Linked DNA regions of Alligator mississippiensis. The protein of the gene in region 1 interacts with the protein of each later gene in a pairwise test. Links are inferred from orthologs where the notes say so. Each region holds a gene or a part of one and is shown on either strand. Other genes may lie near its edges.

Region 1 (7,634 bases):
TAATTCCCTTTATCTTATCCTTTGTTCTTTTTGTCTGCTGTGTCTCAGGACAGGATACTGTTTTTTATTATATGTTTTACAGGCACCAGTACAACAAAGCCCGGACTTTCGAAGATAACCTTTATATTTTTAACAACGGAAAAAAGGGAAAAAGTTACGCTGGGCATTTTTCAAATCAGTATGTAAAAGGGACCTAGAATTGTTTCCATCCTGAAAAGTGTTTTGCCTTGGAAATAAAAATCTGATTTATCCAGGTTTCCCCAGCAGGCTCCCTATTGTTAGCTGGTTAAATATTGCCATTGGAAAACAAACAAAACTTCCCTAGGGGAAGTGATGTTTAAGTATAAATGCTATACTTTAATTGGTTAATAACTGTTTAGATTAAGTGGGGAAGATTTTTTTTTAATGCAAACACCCCATCCCATTGACAGAATATAGGTAAACCAACTTAAAAGAAGCCAGATTTGACATTTCAGGCATCTCTAAAATAAGTAGGGTGGCAAGGAAGGGGTGTTATGGGATGGGATGGGGAAGAAGAGATACAAATTTCAGGACATCTTGTGCCTCAAAGGAAGGCACAAATTAATTTTTTTTCCTGTTATGGAGACACCTTTCTAACTGATGTGTTATTTGAGCACACAACATCACAATAGAGATGACATTCACCTCCATTAGGGAAGTTTGAGGTTTCCACTTGCATTCACCTCCCTCACAGAACAAAAGAGTTCAGGTCAGACTCCCAATGGGAGAAGGCAGGGTAGATTTGCCCCTTATAAACTAACCAAAATAGTCAGTGCATCTGACAAAGTGAGTTTGGGCCCTCAAAACCTTGGGCTATATTTATCTGCTTTGGTTAATCTATAATAGGCAAATCTACAGATCTAAAGAAAAAGCCCTGGTGGTAGGGTGACCTGTCTGTAATTCTGGTAGGGAAAGATGTAGTTAACCAGGTTAGTCTGAAGTCAAGTAGAAGGCAGGCTAGATTTGTACCTTATAGACTAACCAAAGTAAACAGATTAGATCAGAATAGATTAAGAGAGCCATTCAGATTAAGAATCTAATTTAATCTAGTCTCATAATCTAATCTGACCTTTTGGACTAGCTCGAGTCTAATTTAATCCAGTCTAAGAAATCAGATTATGTTAAGAGATTATATTAATTTAGATTATCGTGCCAGGTTAGATTAAGAGACTAGATTGGATTAAAATGGGATTAAGGTAGATTAAGAGATCGGATTAGACCAGAGGTGGGCAATTATTTTGGCTAGAGGATTACTTAGGCATTTTTAGTGAGTTGTCACAGGCAAAACCAGCACCCGCACCCCACAACAGCTCACTAAAACTCCCTAACTGGCTCCTGCATGTGGCGGGGAGGCTGGGATGGGGCTACAGGGAGGTGGGGAGCAGCACCTGGGAGCGGGATAGGTGAGCAGGACCATGGCTGGGATTAGGATTGCAAAACAGTGACAGCGGAGGGCCCAGGCCCAGGGCCAAACCACAATCCACTCCCCGCACACCCCTGCAACAGGCACAGATTCTGCAGGCAGAGGCATGCAGGGAACAGATTGCAGCTCTACCCTGGGCCTGGCCCCATGTTATCACTGCTCTGTGACCCCAGGGTGTCCATGGGGACTAGCCAGGGCCTGCATGGGCAGGACATGCACCCAGGAGGATGGGATGGGGCCATGGGGAGCTGCATCTGGGACTTGGTTGGCGGGGATGGGGCCGGGCCAGGGATCAGGATTGTGAGGTGGTGACAGCACGGGGCTGGGACCTGGGGCCGTGCCATAATCTGCTCCCCACATGTCCCTGCCCATGGAAAAGGAGCCCATTACAGAGATGTGCAGGCAGTGGATTTGTAGCTCTGCCCAGGCCCTTGCGCTGTCACTGCCCCACAATCCTGATTCCAGTCCCTGGCCCCACCTGTCTGTCCCGCTCCCAGACGTGGCTCCCCATGCACCCACGGCCCTCTCTCATCTGTCCAGCCATGCACCCTGCCCAGGAGGGTCCATCCCTTGGCCGTGGGTGCAGAGTCCCAGGGCAGCGGAGCTGGGACTGGCAGCTGGAAGGAACCACAACTGGGACTGCCAGGAAACAATCTGGTCACTGCACCACCCCCGCCCTGCTGCACGCCCCGGGCAGTGCAACCAGCCGCACATGCCATGGCCTGGGTTGCCCCTGGTGCCTAGGCCAGGCAGGCTGGACAAAATGCCTTGGAAGGCTGTATTTTGCCCACCCCTGGATTAGATTTTGGAGATTATATTAATTTAAGGGATTAAGGTAGATTGAGAGGTCAGATTTGATGGACAGATTTCTAGGGTTGGAAGGGACTTAGATCATGGAGTCCAACCCCTGCTCTGGCCAGGAAAGAGCACTGGGGTCAAGTAACCCCAGCCACGTACTTGTCTAATCTCCTTTTAAACACCTCCAGGGGAGGAGAAAGCACCAGCACCACCGATTAGATGAAGAGATGGGCTAGAGGCAGATGTGGGGATTCAAACAGATGGAGAGGGCAGATTACAGGAGACAGCCTCCCAGGGCTTCCCCTTTAGAGCTGCTGATTTGCCCCTTACAGTCGAGCCCTAGCGCCCAAGGGCTGTGGGCCCAAGATCGCTTCGTGGCGTGCGCCCACCCCTTCGTCAGTGGACAAGGGGCAAATCTCCCTGGAGGTCAGACCAGCGGGCTCCAGGTCTCTCCCGACGCACCGCGGCTCCGGCCTTGCCCTTCCCCAGGGAGCGGCTGTTCCCAGCGCCCTTGACCGGCCTCGCGGGGGGCTCTCGCCACCGCCGACTCGGGCCACCAAGCCTGGCCTTTCCTCCCGGGCGCGGGCCTCCCTCTCCCCGCAGCGCAGGGCAGGGGCCCGGGGTGCATGGGGGGCGAGCGAGGAGCCAGGCCCGGTTACCTGCTCCGCCCGGCGCTGCTGCGGGTTTCAATCTGCCGCCTTCCTTCCCGCCTCTGCCCGGGGCCGCCCCCGGCTCCTCCCGGCAGCGGCGGCCTGCGCGCCCCTAGCGGCGGGCGCGGGCAGGGCAGGGCATGGCGTCTGGGTCCAGGGCAGAGGAGCCGGGGCTTGAGGGCCGGGGAGGTGTGCTCCCTGTCTCCCTTTACCACAGCGCTTCTCAGCCGGGCGCTGCAGCACCCAGGGGCGCTGGGGGATCCTCGCAAGGGTGCTGCAGGGGCGCAACCGGGGCTGGCAGGAGAAACCCAGAGATTTCGCAGCAGAATCTGCCCCGCTGCAAACGCCGGGCTCTGGCCCGCGGTGGACTGAGCTCTTTGCAACAGAACTGCCCTGTGATTTTTCTTTGGGGGCCTATAGTCACCCCCAAATTTGCCTTAGCACCCCCATAGCCACCCCTGTCCAAGCCCCCTGCTCTGAGCCATGCCACCAACCCCGCTCCCACCTGCAGAGGCCTTAAGTGGGTATTGTTAAAAAAAGAAATAAGTGTATTTGGCCAGAAAATGCATAGCGCAAGCCCCTCCAGTTTTCTGTCTAGCCCACCTCAGCCCCCCGCTGGGAAGAGGATGGTGCCACCCCTGCTGCGATGGTCCAGAAATGATGGGAGGCACCGACTGCTCAGGGTGCTGGTGTTTATTGGGCCAACTGGGTAGTTGGGATAGTTAGACAAGCTTTCCACTACAGGTATCATGCATTGGAAAGCATGTCTAACTTCATCTCAACTAGTAGTCAGTCCTATACAAGAGAGCTGCCTAAGCAGCCCATGCCCCTCATTCTATTGTTTTTCTGCTGTCAAAAAACAAGTGAAAATTAAGAGCTGGCATTTTGAGGGGGTGCCTTGACAGGGGTGGGATTTAATAACAGCCTTCCACTACGTGAAGGGGGTTCCAAAGAGGATGGAGCTCTGCTGTTCTCAGCTGTGGCAAATAACAGAACAAGCAGCAATGGCCTCAAGTTGCAGCAAGGGAAATGTAGGTTAGATAGGAGGAAAAACACTGCAACAGGTTACCTAGAGAGGTTGTAGAATATCTCCATCCTTAGGGTTTGTAAGACCAGGGGTGACAAAACTTTGGCTGGGATGCTAGTTGAAGATGGTCCTGCTTTGAGGAGGGGGCTGGACTATATAACTTCCTGAGGTCCTTTCCAACCTGAATTTTCTATGATTCGATTAAATGAGGGATGCCTTAAGTAAAAAGATTGAGGACCACTGCTGTAATACAGGAGTGCTCCACCTCCGGCCTGCTGGCCAAATCTGGCCCACACAGTTATGACATCCAGCCTTTGGGAATCCCCATGGGTCAGAAAAATTATCATTGGGGATTGGGAGAAGTTCCACAGGGCTGGGTCCAGACCAGCCTGGGCCATTGTGGCAAACTGGTATCAGGGCCTGGCCAACCCCTCCATGTTCAGATTGGGCTGAGCTGTTCCCCATCCCTGCCACATGTCCAAATAGGGGCTGCTTCCCCCCATACCCCCACATCCCCTTCCTGTGGGTCCAGATTGGGGCCTATCCACCCTACCCCTGCCCCTTCCATGCATCAAGTTCAGAGCTGAGCTGCTCCCCGCACACACCTCCCTACATCCAGATTGGGGCTGCTCTGTCCCACCCTCTCCCCACATATCCAGATAGAGACTGGGACACTCCCTGCCTCTCCCTGGGCTGAGATCAAGGTTGGGCTATACACCCCTGTGGCTGGTTGGGGCCTTGCACTCTGGGCCTAGTATTTGCCAAATTGAGCCCACAGGCTGGATCTGGCCTGGCACTGTCCACACATTCCATGGGGCAAAAATGTTGGGAACCACTGCTTTGGGAATATTGGGAACCCAACACATGGAGTATATAACATAGCTGTATTGTAAAGGAAGTAGTTATAGCCTTTCAGGACAAATAACCAGGTCTGTAATAATGACTTAATAGATACCACTAATAGGCTGGGTGCGGCCTAACATCCAGTTATGACCCCTTTATAACCAAGGACATATAACTTTTACATAAAATATGCCTTTATAGGGAGAAGTCTGGAAGTGAGTCACCACAAGTGTAGTTCTACTAGTTAATGAAAACAGCACATATTGAAGGTTTTGGTTGTGTGAATTTTACTGGTTAGGAAGAATGGTGTTAGCGTAGCAGTCACACTGAGTACACATAGGATAGGAAATTTAAGTTGTTGGTATAGTTGTCCTTCACTTATTTTCATCAGTGTGTTTCAGATCTAATCCTCCTTCCAAAAGTACCAATTTGTCTAAAATGGTAGACTATCAGGCAAACTTTTTTTAAAAATGCAAGTGTCTTTGGTTTTAATGGTAGTTTATTAGAAGAGACAAAAGAAAAGATGAACAAAATATTATGGAGAGTGAAATCAAAGAGACTAAATTGTACTTTTGGAAAACAAAGATATCCATCTTAAAAATTGACCTACTAGGCATGAACAGCTCATCCTGATCAAACACATTTGAACATACTAAAAACTCAGACATGCCAAGAAATGATTCACTGTTTATCTAACACATTACAAGAAAAATTTAAATGAATTGCTACAACAGAGGCAGGACCAAGAAACTCCCAGTATACTGGCTGCAGCTTTGTCACAATGATCCAAACGAAGCTGTTAAAGGACTTAGAGGCCTGTTTTTGACATGATTCAAATTGATGTCTCATTTGTTTTTCCCTCTTGTTTTCCTCCAAGAAGTATGAGAAAGGTTGAACAGCTGGAGAATCTATCCTGATAGGTCCTCTGAAATTTAATCATGGCATGGCAATAGGCACAGAAAGAAGGCCTTAGCCCGGTACTTGAGGTGGAGGGGGGGGAATCAACTGTAGACAGACCTCAGCCTTGCTGTAGATAAACTGCGATATAACTTACGGCAGTCACTAAAATCCTGCCGCCACCATTTAACAACAGTGTACTATAATCCTGATCAGAGCACGTTAAAAGATTTTGCATTCTTGTAATCTCCCCAAGACAAACAGGCTAGAAACTTGGGAGTTCCACTTGTAGACCCGCTATTTCTAAGTACTGGAGCTAAATTAGTCCTAGGCCCAAGGTCAGCAACATATGCATTTAAGCATGTGCTTAAATTAATTTTAAGGATGTGACTAAATGTTAAATTGTTAAATGAGGGACCTAGTGGGAGCAGGGAATTTTTAGAAGAAAATTTAGAGAGAAGAATCAGATATTTGCAGCAGTAGAAATTTTCCCAAGAGGAAAAGTACAGGCATTCCAGCATACAGCTACCACTTTTCCCCTCCTCTCCATGCCCTCCCCAGTCCAAGTCCCACCCCCCACCCCAGTGTGGGGAGCGGTGGGGGCAGCTGCAGCTGGACTCCTCCCATAATCAGTAGGAATCAGGAGGACCCTGCTCTGGGGAAGGCTTGTGGACAGCAACAGCAGCTCAACTCCTACCAACCACAAGAAGAGTTGAGTTCTGGTCTGGAGAAGGTGTTGGGGAAGCAACATGACTCCTCCTGTGATCAGGAGGATTTGAGCTGCCACTGTTTTCCAAGCCTTCGCCAGACTGGGATCCCCCTGACCGGGAGGAGTCATGCTACAGATAAATGTCTCAGCACCTTCTCCAGACTGGAGTCCCCCTGGTCTGGGGAAGGCACAGGGGAAGCATCTGCTCAACTCCTTCCCATCATGGAGAAGTCAAGTGAAAGTGGACAAGTGTTTTCCTGAGCTTGATGAAGGGCATGAGAGCCCAAAAGCTTGCAGAAAAAGATTTTTTTTTTTGCGATTTCTTAGTTGGTCAGATAAAAAGTATCATTTCTGAACAAAGAGTTCTAGAGTTTTGCATTCTAGCAGAGGATACTCTTACAGGGCAGGAGAGATCTTCCAGGTGTCAAAGTGAATCATTTTTCTTATGGACGGGGCATGTTTTCTCCATGAGAAATTGAATGAACATTTGCACTCTGACAACTTCTAGTGGAACAGCAGCACTTCTCCTACTAGAAATGTAATATGTGACGGAGAACAGAGCAAGCTTCAATATTCTTTGGTTCAAACTATTGTGGAGCTTCGTATGCTGAAACTCTTTTACTCTTCAGCCAAAGAGTCATGAAAAAATGTTTGTCCGGTGACTTTTCTGCCTTGAGAAAAAAAGAAAATGCTTAGTAACTTTACCTCACTTGCAACAAAATCAAAGAGGAAAGAAAAAATAGGTATGTGTACATACCATATTTTCTCATATACAATGCACCCTGGAATAAAATAAGTACCTTGCTTTTTGAAAGGCAGAATGAAGAAAAATGATTTTTTCCAGCTGATCTACAATACATTACAATTAGCATTCAGTTCTTTAGGAAAAGGAAATAAAAAATAAAAATTAGAGGTGAAAAGCAATTTCTATACTAAGTTGTGCAAATCTTTTTTTCACAAAATGTCATGGATTGGAGTTCTCAGTATAAAGCACAATAGTTTTAGAGTTGGGCAGTTGTTTGTCCACAGACTGGTACATGACTGCAGAGATATGCAAGAAAAATCTAGGTACAGTATTACTAGGATCTAGCAACAGAATTATGCACATATATAAAATCAAATATACTTGATTGAAAATATTTTAAGATTTCCTCCAGCTCTCATTTTACCAGATGTAGAATTCCTTCTTTGGGGGCTGTACATAAAATCAGAAGTGTGGTCCATTGGCTGGAGTGGGACTTGTAAAACTAGGTTTAATTCTGTGTG
Region 2 (6,919 bases), about 330 Mb from region 1:
TTAGCAGGATGTTTTTCTAATTAAATTACACACAGGCTAAATAAAACATTAAGGCTGCAAAGTCGACTGCTTAAAAGTTAGGAAGTGATAGAATTAAGGTTGCCTGTGTAATCTTAACTCAGCCCTCTTGTGCATGTGCATTATGATATAGTTGTTAATTAGTAAAGGATTACAACGTAGGTTTTCCAAATAAGCCCTGCCTCGTTCGGTATGCAGCAAAGCTGTGCTTTGGGGATGAATCAAGGTTGGGGAGTGAATGAGGTTGCACAAAACCTTTTGTTCTCATTTTTTTTTGTCTTACTGTAGCGCCTAGACATTCTAATCGTAGACTGGGAAACTCCTGCTAGGTACTGGACAAACACAGCACAAAACTCTATCCTCACTCCGCAAGGCTTGCAACCTAAGCATAAGACAAAACATAGCAGATGGCTACAAACAGATGGGAGAGTACATTGTGACAGCGCTGGTCAGCATGATAGGCAGTGCTCTTGTACACTAGCAGCCTGTTAAGTATTTTTGTAGCCATCATGGCAAAAGAGAATGTTAAGAAGGAATCTGAAATGAAATAGCTTTATGATGTCTACTCCCCTGTGAGGCTTCTCCCCACAGGAGGAACAGATTAGGAGAAAGCACAATGATTTGCACTTAAAAATGTAACGGGCACACAATGAATGTGGGTATCCTGGGTTAATCAGGTATGGGAGCTCACATTTTCACAGCAAATGGTGGGGCTGGTGGGGAGTGGCAGGCCATGGAAAACTTTCAAAGTGAAAATGAGTAGCTTATGTCTGATGTGAGAAACAAGAGGGAGCTAGTAGAGGCATGCGGAGAGGAATGCCCTGATCAAAGCAAGAAGCAACAGCAGTCAGTATAGATCTGAGCAGGAAAAAACCCTATATTTTTCAAGGCCAAAGAAAAATACGTCACAGTAATTGTAGTGTACAATGATTAGAACCTAGAAAAAACCTGCCAGTTGTGTGGATGGGCTAGGAAAAGCCAAACCTTCAAATCTTACATAGACTGAAGGGGCCATAATCATTGCATAAACTGGAACGCAGGCACTGACTGAACAGTGCACAGTGCCCAGAACTAGTGGACACATTTTTCCTAATTTCTCATACCTTCATTTCCCTATGTGAAAAAGGGATAATACTCACTTTTCTCAAAAGGATGTTGTGAAAAGAAAGCTATCAATGGTTGCAAAGAGCCCAGATCCTGTAGGTAAGCTAATGAGAAAACTGTCTTCAGCCTATGGTTTGAAAAAGGCTGTAATTAAGGCATGGGATCATGTACTGAACAAGGGGAAAAAATACTGAAACAGTTGATCATGAAAGAAGCCCCGAGGCCTTTGGGAGAAGCCTGTGGAAAAACTGTGTGACTGTGTATTTGGCATCAGAATATACAGATACAAGTGCCGTGTCTGCATGAGATGCAGGGGTCCGTGACTACTGCTCAGTAGTGTCATGTGTCAGGAAGCATGATGCAATGCTACTACGCAGTAGTCATGAGCTACTGCACAGTCAGTGTCATGAAAGCCATTCCTCAGCGTTACTGCAGTCATTTAATACTTGTATAAACTGCGCAGTCAGCCTCCTTTATAGATGCAGCCAAGGCATCCAAGCAAGGTTTGCCTGGCAACTTCAACTCCAGCACTGCCAACTTTGGAGGGCTTGACTTTGTAACCCCAGTGACATTCTTTTAATACTAATTTTTGCATGTAATTTCCTAAGCTTTTAAGAACTCAAGAACTGCCATTTACTGGGTCAGACCATAGGTCTGTCTTGCCAGTAGCCTGTGTCACTCAGGGGCAGGGAGTAGATGCTGAAAGGGAGAGTGAATTGGGTGTGACCAGGGTTTTTCCCCCTTGCTCTCTCATTTGCAGCCTCCAGCATTTAAGGTCTAGAAAGTTCTCATTCAGAGGCCGCATCCCTAACGTCTGGGCTCAACAGCTACCAATGCCCCTTTCCTCCAAAAACATGTCGTGTCCCATCCCTTTCTGAACCGGGCTCAGCTGTCAGCATCCGCAGCACCTGAGGGCAGCGAGGTCCCGGCTACCTGACGCTCTTCGTGAAGAGGAACTTCCTAGGGTTAGTTTGACACGGGTTGTTGGGTCTCTTTTACTGGACATCAGATTTACGCAGAGCACCTTGTCTGCCTATGTTCATAAACCACCACAGCTACAACCCACACCCCTGCCATTAGTTTTAAACTTACTGCCCACTCCGTTCGTGTTGCAACCCCCAGTTCTCGCCTTGGGGGACAGCCGGTAGCAAATCCCTGTCGATGCTCTCCCCACCAGCCAGCATGTTGTCAGCCCTCCTGGTGCTCGCCACGAGCCTCTCTTTTCTCAACACATTAGGCCTGGCCCCTGCAGTCTCTCCCCACATGGACGCCCCTCCAGGGCTCATCATCCCGCCGCCCCTGCCTGAACCCTCCTCTGGGTCCTGCACCTCCCTGCCGAGGTGCGGGGGGGAAGCACTCAAGGGGGAGCCACGAGAAACGCGGCAGGAGGGCCACGGCCCCCCAAGCCACAGGGCGGGGATGGAGGAGCTCGAGCCCCCGCTCCAGAGGCCTCCCCCGCCCCAGCACCGTTACTTGGGCCCCGCGGCCACGGCCGCGCCCAGGCCTGGGCCTCCGCCAGCGCCACCCAGGCCCGGCCCGGGGCGCGCTGGGGCTTGCAGTTCCCGCCGCCCGCGCCTCGCCCAGACCCCCGCAGAGCCGCGAGCCGGAGAACTCCATCTCCCAGCGTGCCCCGCGGCACAAGCCTCCCGCGCCCCCTTCGCCGCAGCACCGCGGGGGAAGGCTGCGTGCCCGAGCCGGCTCGCGCCGCCGCCGCCGCCCCCCGCTCTAATGGGCTTGTTTGTCGCGCCCGCCGCCGCCCGCGGATCCGCCGCGCTGTTACCTGGGCTGAGCCGCCGTCGCCACCGCCTTCGCCCTGCAGCGCGCCCGAGGGGTGGGGGGGCCCGCGAGCTCCGCCAGGCAGCGGCGCCCGTTGCCATGGAGACGGGGGAGGGGAGAGGACGCCGCGCTGCGGCGACCCGCGGCCCCGCCCCCCGCGGCCGGCCCCGCCCCCCCTGTCCTGGCGGCCCCGGGGAGCTCGGGTTGATTGCCAGGGTCAAGGCCCTTCCGGACATGGGCAGAAAGCCTACCAAGCCTGTTGGTTGTAGCCGTGTCGGCCTAAGGAAATCAAATAAACATTAATAAACAGACCTCTCGATGGGGTCTGACTGCCCCACGGCAGAACCAGGGTTAAAAAACTTCCACGCGGATAATTGGGGAAGAAAAGCAGGCTGCTGTCCTTCATGTGGACTGACCCATACTTTGCTCCTGGGGAGCACTGAATGTTAGGAGTCTTATTTTCTGTGTCTGGGACCAAAATACCTCCTAGTGGTTACAGACAACCACGCCAAATGTAACACCTGCTGAGTCATCTATTATCACTAAATGTGGAAGCCAGTATCTCTGTGACTTAATATAAACAACAGAAGGCAGCTCTTAGAAGGGAAAAAAGGTTGCTCTTAGCAGCTTTGTTCGCAGGGAAGAAGGAGCAGTCATAAAGCATGTGAGATTCCAGCTAGTGAAACACGCGGCTAAACCAAGTGCCTAATTTAGGATCTTCTTCCTGTAAAGCAGTGTTGCAAAGTGATTAGCTTTTCCCAACTGTGCCTGACAAGACTATGTGTCAGCTCTTAGTTCTTTATAAAACATGAATTATAGTTACTTCCCTAAGGGTAGCACAAGGAGATCTTCATTTGCAATCAAGTTTTTGGTGTTTTTCAGTAGATGATATAGGGTTACACCTGGGCTTGCACTCTTTCCCCTAAGCCAGGGGTTGTCAACCAGGGGTATGCATACCCCTGGGGGTACTAGGGACAGCCCCAGGGGGTATGCATGGTGGCGTGGGGAAGCAGCGCGCAGCAGCATGGAAAGGTGAATGGTGGCGGTGGCTGCTGCATGTAAGCTCCCCACCCCCCGCTGCAGTCATTCACCACTTTGCACCACTGCCATGCACCACTTCCCCATGCTGCCATGCGGTGCCCGCTTCACATCCATCTGTTCATCAGCACCCCCCTCCCCCTGGTCTGGAAGGGGTTACAGGGATACCCACCAGAAGGGGTGCACTCCTTTAAAAAGGTTGAGAACCCCTGCCCTAAACTACAGAACATCACATAGGAGCATAGAAAATTAGGGCTGGAAGGGACCTCAGAAGGTCATTTAGTATCTCTGTGAGCAGTGTTCAAGGCAGACTCATCCCTGACTAAACTATCCCAGGCAATGTCTGTCTAATTTATCAGAATGGAGGTTTTACAGCTTCTCTAAGTAGGCTGTTCCAATGCTTGAACACTCTCATAATCAGAAAATAAATGACTCCTAATCTCTAACCTGAGTTTCCTCTGCAACAGTTTGAGGGCATTGCTCCTAGTCCTATCCCCTACCTACAGCTATGTAAAAGAGGGGCTCTTCATCTTCTCCATAATCACCCTTCATGTATTTGAAAACTGTTATCCAATCTCCCCTCAGTCTTTCCTTCTCCAGACTAAATAGTCCTAGCTCTTTCAGCCTTTCCTCATAAGCCATGCTTCCCAGGTTCCTAATCATTTTTGTTACTCTGTGGTGGACCCTTTCCAACCTGTCCACATCTTTTTTGAAGAGTGGGACCCAAAACTGGACACAGTACTCCAGGTGAGGCCTCACCAATGCTATATAGTGCAGAAGAATCACTTCCCTTGATTTGCAATTGACATTCCTGTTAATACAACCCAGTATGGTGTTGGTATTTTTTGTGACAAGAGCACACCACTGACTTATATTTAGTTTATGGTCCACAGGAACCTTCAGGTCCTTATCTACAGTACTGCAGCCTAGCTACTCATTCCCCCATCTGTGTTTGTGCATGCAGGTATTCTGTTCTAATGCAGGAATTTGCACTTGTCCTTGTTCAATCGCATCTGACTGATTGTGGACCATTGTTACAGTCAATCCAGGTCATTCTGTGTTAGGGACCAAGTTGTATGTGGTCTTGCCTAATGGTTAAGCCATTGACAGAAGGCAGGGGCTGGGTCAGAGTTTGGGAGCGAAATCACCAGGTCTGGAGGGAAAATCCAAGGGCAGAGTCCAAAAACAAAGGTCAGGGTCAGAATCAGGGTCTAGAAATCAGAAGCCAAGTTACCAAGTCTCAGGAATAATCCACAGGTCAAAGTCTGAGAACAGAGCCAAACTGGGGTCAAGAGCCAGGAAAGCCAGTGAGCACAGCAACCAGAAGGCTTGCCCAAGTACACTGGATCAGAACTGTTGACTGGCCTGGGACTCTGCTGCTGGGGCAACATGGATGGGCAGCACACTCAGGCATGAATCAGGAAGTCACTCATTCACCTGGGCCAGAGCTTGTCAGCCAGAGACTTATGGCAGGTGGGGCTGCCCAGGCAATCAACCCAGGCTGGGCTACCTGGTTAGGGTCCCTGACATTCTGGATCCTAGGCCCACTCTCCAGAGGCTCTGCAGCTCCACCCAACTTGATGTCATCTACATATTTGCTAAGGGTGCTCTCAATCCCATCATCCAAATCATTAATGAAGATGTTGAACAGTACCAGACCTAGGACAGATGCCTGGGGACCCCCACTAGATTTATTCTTCCAACTAGAGACTGAGCCACTGGGGACTACTCATTGAGCACAATGATTCAGCCAGCTTTGTATCCGCTTTACAGTACTTTAGTCTAGTCCCGGGCTGGGCAAAATACGACCCGTGAACTGGATCTGGCCCGCCAAGCAACTCTGTCTGGCCCATGGGGCCCCTCCATAAAACAATTATTACCAGCCCATGGCTGCCCTTCTGCAAGCCAGTGGGAGGTGAGCTTTCAAAGGTTGTGTGCCATTGGATTGGGCAGGCTTTGTGCTTCCACCTCTGTGGGGCTCCTGGCACTTCATCTGGGAGCCCCATGTAGAGGCACTGAATGTGATGGCACACTATTGGACAGCTGGTGAGTGAGAAGGAGAGCTCCTGCCTGCAGAAGTGGGGGTGGGGTTTGTGGGTGGGGGTGGGCCCCTCTGCCATGGTGCACAGCTCCTGCTGGCAGTGGCAGCAGCAGGTGGTGGGCCCTCAGGGCTTTCCTGGCCCGCTGCAGGCAGAGCCCCCCAGCAGTGCACAGCTCTGGCTGAATCCTGAGAGCTGCACGTGGTGGCATGGAGCCTGCCCAACCTTGCATGCTGGTGCACACCTTCAAACCAAACAAGGCTGGCTCCATGCCAACACATGGGGCTCCTGACACTGCAGGTGGGAGCTGAGTGCCATTGGGCCAGGCCGATGGTGCGGCTCTGTGCCTCCATGTGAGACTTCCACCACTCCAGTGGGGAGCCGCACATGGTCGCACAGTGCCTGCCTGGACACCCACAAAGCCCCACATCCCTTCACAAACCTCACACACACACACCTCCACAAATCCCACCCCTGTCACACACACACACAATATACAAGAGTACAATTTTATTTTGAGCTATTATGTAATGACCTCTATGTACACTATGCAAATAGATCTAAATCAGGACAAAAATATTTTAAAATACAATTAAAATATGTTATAGTAGATGTTTAGTTTTTAGTATACGATTTTTTTTTTCAGATTCCAAGGTGGCAAACTCCCTCTCCCAAAAGGAGTGCTTCTGGCAGTGGGGGGGAGGAGGAGGGAGAGAGGGGAGGGTGGACTTCTGGTGGCAAAGGTCAGGCATGACTACTAGCTCTTGGTGAATTCATCAGGGCCGCCCTGAGGGTTTATGGGGCCTGAGGGCAGGTGTGATGTTGGGGACCCCACCACTTTGTGTGTACAAGGACCCGTGTGTGTACAAAGCTGAGGGACCACATGCGAGAATTCTTGCACACACATATCACACGTAAGAATTCTCACATGCGACTCCTCCCTC
Region 3 (7,372 bases), on another chromosome or scaffold:
GAAAAGACCCTTTTTAAAAGAAGATACTTAGGAAGCCTCCTCCTACCAGAGAACCAAAATATATTTCAAACACCTGCAGTCATAGAAAAGAGCTGAAATATGGGATATTTAAACAAAAGAAATGCAGAGTCAGGATGATTGACCCCCCCTGCTTCAATACACAGACCCCCTTCCTTTTCTATTTAAGGAAGCACAAGACATTTGAGCCTTAGGAACAAATGGTTTGATTCCTGTGTTGGAACAAGAGACCTGACAGCAGCTGAAACAGCCAGACTCTCCCAGCACCTTCCAGAACTCACTTTAGAAAGAAATCCCATTCACATGTCCAGTGCTTCCTTCTCTTTGCAGTTTTGCATCACACCTAAAATGGTAGGAGCCCAGAAACATCTGTGTGCATATCTAGCTTTGTAGATTCTCTAGATATAGAACTGCACTCACTTTAGGGTCCCTATTATAAAGGTTCCCAATCACCAGGCTGCAGCCTGGTACTGGGCTGTGAAGGGCTGGCTGCTGGGTTGTGGCACAAGACCCCTGCTTGGACCCCTGTCTGTCCTCCCGGGCAAGCGGCTTCTGCCACCGACAGTCACATGTGGGGTTAAAGCTGGGTGGCGGGGCAGCCCCAGGAGGGAGGCAGCTGGCTCTGTGTACCCAGCTCCACTCCTGTCCCGGTCTGCAGTACAAAAAAGGTTGGGAACCACTGCCCTATTATATATAAGCTGTCTGGGAGCCCTGGCAGGGTGTTATGCTTTCAGTGACTTGTCCCATTCGGGTGGGTCACAAAACTGGTGGCACGGTACCTGGCACAATAGGCTGTGTGAGGCTTTCCTATTTAAATGGAATGTTTGCAACACTAGTATAATGTTTTATATATGCTGAAGACTTCAACTCTCCTAGAAACAGGGCTACAGTGGCCATTTTAAAATTAAGAATGAAAAAGACACACCAAACAGAAAAATGTCTATGTATCCAAGACTATGATAACATACCAAACAGGGATTCCTTCATCAGAAGCACTATAGGCAGCCTGCTCAGAGGAGGAAGAGTAGAGCACTGATTTGAAAGATAAAAGGTATAGGCATATGATAGGTATGAGGGTGAAAACATTTTGGGTAAAACAGAAACAAAGGATTTTGGCTGTTCAATGAGAAATCTAACCAAAAACTCAGTACTGTCAAAGCAGCCCTAAGGAGGGTAAAACCTGGGCTGTCTTAGATTTTATATAGGTTTTTATACTACACTTATTACCATGGCATCTACACACCTTCCAGAATTGGATCAGGTAACAAAATTAACATCTCACATATATTTGTTCCTTCCTTCTCACTTCAGAGTCTGGTATATGCAATGGAGTGCTTTGCACCTATACATTTGTTGCTTTATTTAGAAAAAGCAAGAATGAAGCACACCTTTACTTCAGGGTGGAAAGTCAGGAGGCTTGTACTGGGAGTTAGCTCCTGTGGGAGTTCATTCTCCAGCCTCAGACAAGCCCTCACGTGGCCAGGTGGTGGAACTTTTGGAAGGGGAGACCAGATTTCAGTTTACATCCTGAGAAGCTAGTTTGAAGGGTTGAAATTAAGAGCCAGCCTAGTATATTTGTTGTGGCTCTTCTTACATTGCAAGAACCTGTTGCCAGCCTTGGCTATTTTCAAGGGGCCTAGGCTAAGCTGCAGAAATGCTGCTAAGCAGAAGGCCCAAAGCCTGTTTCTGAGGGACTGTAGTGTTTACTTTTGCAAATGTGACAATTAACTTGGTCAGCAAATAAAGGAAACCATCAAATACAATTAAACAAAGCACAAGGCCTAAAAGGAGATAAGACCATACATTAAATAATCCATATATGCTATATCATAGCTTTATCTTAAAATAGTAGTAGTAGTTGATGGCTAGGAAATGGTATCTAGAGGTTTGCTTTTTGGAACTGTAGGTAAAGGAGATATTGCCTTAGAACAGGGTTTTTCAACCTTTAAAAAAAAGTGTACTTTTGGTGGGGGGCTGGCAAGTGGCCAGATGTGGAGCGGGGTGGCGAGCAGCCAGATGTGGAGTGGGGCATAGATGAACCAAATTAGGAGGACATCAGAAAGAACCAAATTAGGACATGTGCATATGATGGGTTTGTGAAACAAAGGAATATGCAGACAAGACAAAACATGGACAGTATGATGACCAGGGATCCTAGTTTTCTCTGATTAAAAGTTGCAAATTCTCTGATTAAAAACCCAAATTCTGTGATAAAAATTAAAGGGCCCCCCACAGCCCCTCCCAGGGCTGTTGGTGCCTCGCACTCCACCCCCCCCGTCTCAACAGCCCTCCTGATGCCCCTCGCAACAGCCTGCCAGACCCACAGGCATGTAGACACAGATGCTGACACCTACCACAGCAGGTAAGTGTGTGGGGGGAAGGGACAGGGCAGGGCGGGGGAAAGGGAAGGTGCTGGGGGAATAGATGAAGAAGGCGGGGGGGGAGTGTGCCCCTGTGCCCACTCCCAGGAGCAAGGCTGGGGGGTGAGGGCAGGGTGCCACTCTGTGGGCTACACACATGCCGGCTGGCCTGACAGGAGGTTTACACATGGAGGCCACTACCGCAACTCTGCCACTGCACTCTGCGCTACCATCCCACGGCCACCTAACTGGCTTTGTGGGCAAGTGGTGCAGGGCGCGGCAGCAGCAGTGCAGTGGCAACCACCGTGTGTGGGCCACATATGTGCTGCCCAGCTGGAAGGTGAAATGGGGGGCTTGCATGCAGTGGCATGCCCAACTGGCTCCGTGGTGGTGTGGGGTGGTGGCAGCTGCATGCAGGGTGGGGGGGCTTTGTGGGCAAGCGCTGCTACTGTGGAGCCATGCCCCTTCACACCTGGATCCTAGAGGTGTGGGGCTTAGGGGCTGTGGGGCAGGGCTGGGGGCTGAGGGAACAAGGGGTGCTGCCAGCCCCAGCCGGCACATTGCGGTGGCGCAGGGTGCTGGTGGCTGCATGCCGCATGGCCACCACCATGCTGTTGCTGCCACCTGGCGGCTGGCTGCACAGCTCCAGGCACAGCACCGCAGCGGCAGTGGGAGGTTTTGGAGGCAGGGGCTGTCACCACCATCACGGACCTCCAGGTAAGTGGCAGTGGCGGCCGCGTGCAAGCCCAAGTTCCTGCTGTGGTTGCAGAATCGGCCATGGAGCTGTGCTCTGGCCGAATGCCAGCCTCCCTCTTCTCCTCCCCCAGGCAGCATGTGTGTAGCCTGCATATGGCAGGTACCACCACACCATGCCTCATGTCACTTGCCCGCAACGCCTCCCTGCAGAGGGGCACCCCTGCCCTCACCCCCTGGCCCTGCTCCCAGCTGCAAAGTGCCGCCTGGGGCCGGCAGCACCCCCTTCTCTCAGCCCCCAACCATCTTCCCAGTCCTGCCTCACAGCCCCACTTACCTCCATGCTCCAGGGGTGAAGGGCGAGTCTGAGTCAGATCCGCAGCCTGGCCTTGGCTGCTTCAGAGGCTCAGGTCCTGCCCTCCCCCCTCTCCTTCCCCTCCAGCCAAGGCTGGGGGTTTCCCACCCTTTTTGCAAATCAACTCTTGCAGGCTGGAGCTGTGCCACCCTGCAAGAGCTCTTTGCAAAATTGGATTTCTCTGCTAAAAAGAGAAATCTGCGTTTTCTCTGATAAAAACGGAATCTGTGGTTTTCTCTGTTTTTCCATGGGAAACAGAAAACCTGGATCCCTGCTCATCACCCGCTAGGGAAGGAGAATCTGCCAGGAGAAGGGGTTGATTAGAGATGTATCCCATCTGGGAGCAGAGCTGGCTTTCCACACCCCCTAGTTCTTTTGCTGAGCCTTGGAAACTGGTGCTTTTAAGTCGGAGACCAAGTTCAGTTCTATTTCCAATCATTGATGTTTCTGCAGCTTCCTTGTTACACAACCTTTGCTCTAGGATCTGAAGGAAGGTGTTCATGAGTTGTATATATGCTTGTTTCTAATATAATCCACTGGGTCCTAGTTTTAATAAACAAAAAGCTGTGAAAGGCTTTTTTTTACCCTCTTGTTGATGCCCAGCAAGGAGGGAACAGACTCCAGTTCTGATTTTATGCATGTGGTTATTTTTACTTGCATGAGCAGCCTCATGTGAGTCAGTGGAGCAACTCGTGTGACTTGAAACGAGCTCTGTGCAGAGGGACCCTTTGCTTGCTGGGGAATTTGCTGCAGGGTCAATGACTTCAGAGCCGAGCAGTGGAAGGGCGCAAAAACTCCCACCGAAGAAAACAGACTGGTGGCAAAACCAGGAGTTGGGGGAAGCTGTTGATACCTTTCAGTTGTAGGCCACAGTCCTACCACCAGCCAGGGGCTCACGGGACTTCACCCACCCGGCTCTGAAGGCAGGATCAGGAGCCTTGTGACTCTGGGGAGAGACTGTGCCAGTAGCAACCGGAACAGGATTAGCAAACGGGAGTAATTCACGTCTTTCAGGTGCTCCGGGGTCGCACGTGCAGGCCTAGTGGAAGCGAGATCCGGGCACGGCCGAGCGGGCAGCGAAAGGACGGGGCAGTGTTTCTCGGGGCTGGGATTTGTGGCGGCCCCCTCTGCAGCCGCCGCGCGGGGGAGCCGGTCGCGGCCCCGGAGCGGGCTGGGCGGAGGCGGAGGCGCAGGCGCAGGAAGTAGGAGGTGCCGCGCGGATGGAGGCGAGCGGTGGGGCCGCGGAGCCGAGCCGGATTTCCCTGCGCGCTGGGCTGGCGGGTGTCTGTGCAGGGCTGACTGGCGTGAAGCGGCCCTGGCTGCGCTGCGCGCCCAGCCCTGCGGAGCGAGGTGAGCGGGGGCTGGCGCTTTGCCCGCAGGCAGCCCGGGCTTTCCGTGGGGTTGCAGTGGCCCGACTGCTGCAGGGGCAGGGGCTTGCGCTCTCCGCTTTTTTTTGTCAGACTTGGCCCAGATGCGATGATATAAAGACGCGGATCGTGGGACTGTGCAGAGCCCTTTCCCCACTTCAGAGTTGGGGGCGAGTGCTGACTTCTCAGGACCCCGGTGCAGGGAAGCCCCAATCCCTGACTGGCACCTGTAGATGCTACTGCAAAGTACACCGCGAATAAGTTCATGTGCGACCACCTGCAGGGGCCAGGAGAGCTAACTAAGCAAGCCTGTAACTAGGCTCCTGGACCAGGCTCTGAGAGGGACTCTTCAATTTGGGGCAGAGTGGCCTGGCAGGCATCTACCGCGGTCGGAGCTCCTGGTGCGGGCCACGTCTTTGTTTCTCAAGGTGGGACAAGGCAAGGCCAGTGGCACCTCCGCGTTGCTGGATACAAACCCCTCCTCTTCTCTTCTGTGCAGGGTGCGTGTCTGCATGGTGTTCAGCCTCCCGTCTCCTGCGCCCTACCCCCCTGGGCACGTGGCAGGGCCATGGTGATGCTGCAGGCAGGACTCTGTCCTGGTCTGACGGCAGAGATGATCCAGCTTCTGAAAGCCAGTGGCATCCGAACAGGTAAAAGGCAGCCCAGAGTCTCAGAGCAGGACTCACCCCCCCCCCAGGGGGGGATGAATTGGGAATGGCAGAGGGCTCTCCCCCTTCCTAGGACCCCTGAGCCTGTTCTGATGGTCTGTGCTGTGGGGCAGCCCCTAGGAAGCTACTCCAGGTCCCAGCATGTTCTGTGCGCCTTGGTGGCTGGCTCAGAGTCTAACATTGCTTTCAAGGGACAGGACAGTGGATGTGGTTCATGCCTCACACAGCAGTAGCGGGGACTATGAAAATCCCCATGCTGTAAAGGCAGCCAGATCTGCCTATCTAATTCCTGACCTTGAACATGTTACTTTAGTACAGGGCTGGGCAATTATTTTGGGAGGAGGGCCGCTTACTGAGTTTTGGCAAGCCATCAAGGGCTGCAAGACAGGCCATCAGGGGCAAATAAATATTTTCTAATTTTTTTTAGGGGCACCATGGGCCGGATAGAATGGCCTGGTGGGCTGCAACCGGCCCACGGGTCACCTTTTGCCCACCCCTGCTTTAGTATTTGGAAGCTTGGCATATCTTGGATATTTGAAGTTATACTTTCTGCTAGGCCATTCCTTCTTGGTGCAGCACCCTCATCCCTGCTGCCATTGGGGAACGGGTAAGGCAGTTGTCCCCAGGGAGCATAATGACACCCGGTTCCACTTCTGATCTCAGCAGGGGTTGGTGGCTCTGAGAAGTGACTGAGGGCCTTGTTACTTGTCAGTTGTAGGTAGCTCCTGGAGCTCTTAACCCCAGCATTGTCCACACGTTAACATGTGAAACTAGTTTTAAGCACCCTTTAAGCAGCACAGCTTAAAAATGGACCACCTCAGCTTAGATTGAGCTCTGATCCATCTTACCCAGGTCACATTACACTTATGTTTAGCCACTCTAGGCTACAGCTTATTGTGAACACTCCCCCACCCCTGGTGGCCTGGATTGGATCCACTGCCCCCCTGGCCCCTCACCCCAGTTGAATCAGCACCCCTGTCCTCTACCAGCCATGATTGGCCTGCTGCCCCCTGGAATGGGTCCGCTGCTCTCCTGCAAGCCAAATCCCCATTCATCCCCCTTGCTGCCTCACAGCTTACTTTTGGCTGCTAGTGCTGCTCCAAGGGAGCAGGCAGTGACCCCCACTGCCAGCCCCTGCCACTGCTATCATTGCTCTCTGGACTGGGCTTAACCCAGAGAGGAGCTGCTGTGCATTGGCAGCAGTGGAGGTGGGGACCAGGCGGGGGTGTTCCCTTTCCCTGCCTATCCCCTGGGGACAGCACTGGCAGCTGAAAGTAAGGTGGGAGGGACGGGGGGATCCCTGGGGTGGGGGAGGGATGGGAGTGGTAAGGGGTGGAACCTGAGGGACAGGAGGAAGCCCAGAATGGGTGGGGAGGGGGCAGGATTCTTACCTTTTGGTCATCAGGGCCTCTGCTGGCTTGAACATAAAACTGCTTCAGACTTGAGCTAGCTGTAAGACTGATTGGCATTTGAGCAGCTCAAACTGCAATGTGTAACAAGGCCTTAAGACAGGGGTGGGCAAAGATGGCCTGCGGTGGACTCAGCCCCTGAGTTCCCAGCAGCCTCTGCCCACGTCAGTGTGGCTGCCTTTCATGCAGACCCCAGACGTGGTGGCACTGTAACAGCGTGGGACCAGAGTTTCCATGGAGGCCAGCCCCAGCAGCGCTGGCATGGCAAGCGGCTGGGCGGGGAGCTGCTTCGGGGCTGGGATTTTATGGTAGTGACAGCGTGGTCCAGAGCTGGGGCAGAGCTGTGATCCATTGCCCACATACCTTGGAGCAGCTCCCCATCCAGCTGCATGCCCTGCCAGTGCTGTTGGGGCCGGTCTCCACGGAAGCCCTGTCCTGTGCTACTGGGATCTCCGTGGAAACTGGCCACAGCAACGCAGGATGGGACTGCTGGGAAATGGTG

What was found.
Region 2: the proteins of CEP57L1 (region 1) and KATNAL1 interact in binary tests that used the Homo sapiens proteins (3 or more experiments, as listed by UniProt). The two-hybrid records come from large-scale screens. The link is inferred for Alligator mississippiensis from reciprocal best matches to the Homo sapiens genes CEP57L1 and KATNAL1.
Region 3: the proteins of CEP57L1 (region 1) and RAD51D interact in binary tests that used the Homo sapiens proteins (3 or more experiments, as listed by UniProt). The two-hybrid records come from large-scale screens. The link is inferred for Alligator mississippiensis from reciprocal best matches to the Homo sapiens genes CEP57L1 and RAD51D.

The regions. Positions count from the first base shown.
Region 1 is NC_081824.1:94,830,191-94,837,824, reverse strand, and holds the start of CEP57L1 (centrosomal protein CEP57L1), read right to left. Parts: upstream 3,012-7,634; 5' UTR 2,902-3,011; intron 1-2,901. UniProt on the Homo sapiens protein: Centrosomal protein which may be required for microtubule attachment to centrosomes.
Region 2 is NC_081824.1:426,266,816-426,273,734, reverse strand, and holds the start of KATNAL1 (katanin p60 ATPase-containing subunit A-like 1), read right to left. Parts: upstream 3,010-6,919; 5' UTR 2,903-3,009; intron 2,570-2,902; exon of another isoform or gene 2,215-2,569; intron 1-2,214. UniProt on the Homo sapiens protein: Regulates microtubule dynamics in Sertoli cells, a process that is essential for spermiogenesis and male fertility. Severs microtubules in an ATP-dependent manner, promoting rapid reorganization of cellular microtubule arrays.
Region 3 is NC_081837.1:26,422,211-26,429,582, reverse strand, and holds the start of RAD51D (DNA repair protein RAD51 homolog 4), read left to right. Parts: upstream 1-4,363; 5' UTR 4,364-4,440; intron 4,441-4,672; exon of another isoform or gene 4,673-4,776; intron 4,777-4,847; exon of another isoform or gene 4,848-5,194; intron 5,195-5,292; 5' UTR 5,293-5,361; coding exon 5,362-5,443; intron 5,444-7,372. Other genes in the region: UNC45B (protein unc-45 homolog B), read right to left, coding at 4,012-4,098. UniProt on the Homo sapiens protein: Involved in the homologous recombination repair (HRR) pathway of double-stranded DNA breaks arising during DNA replication or induced by DNA-damaging agents. Bind to single-stranded DNA (ssDNA) and has DNA-dependent ATPase activity.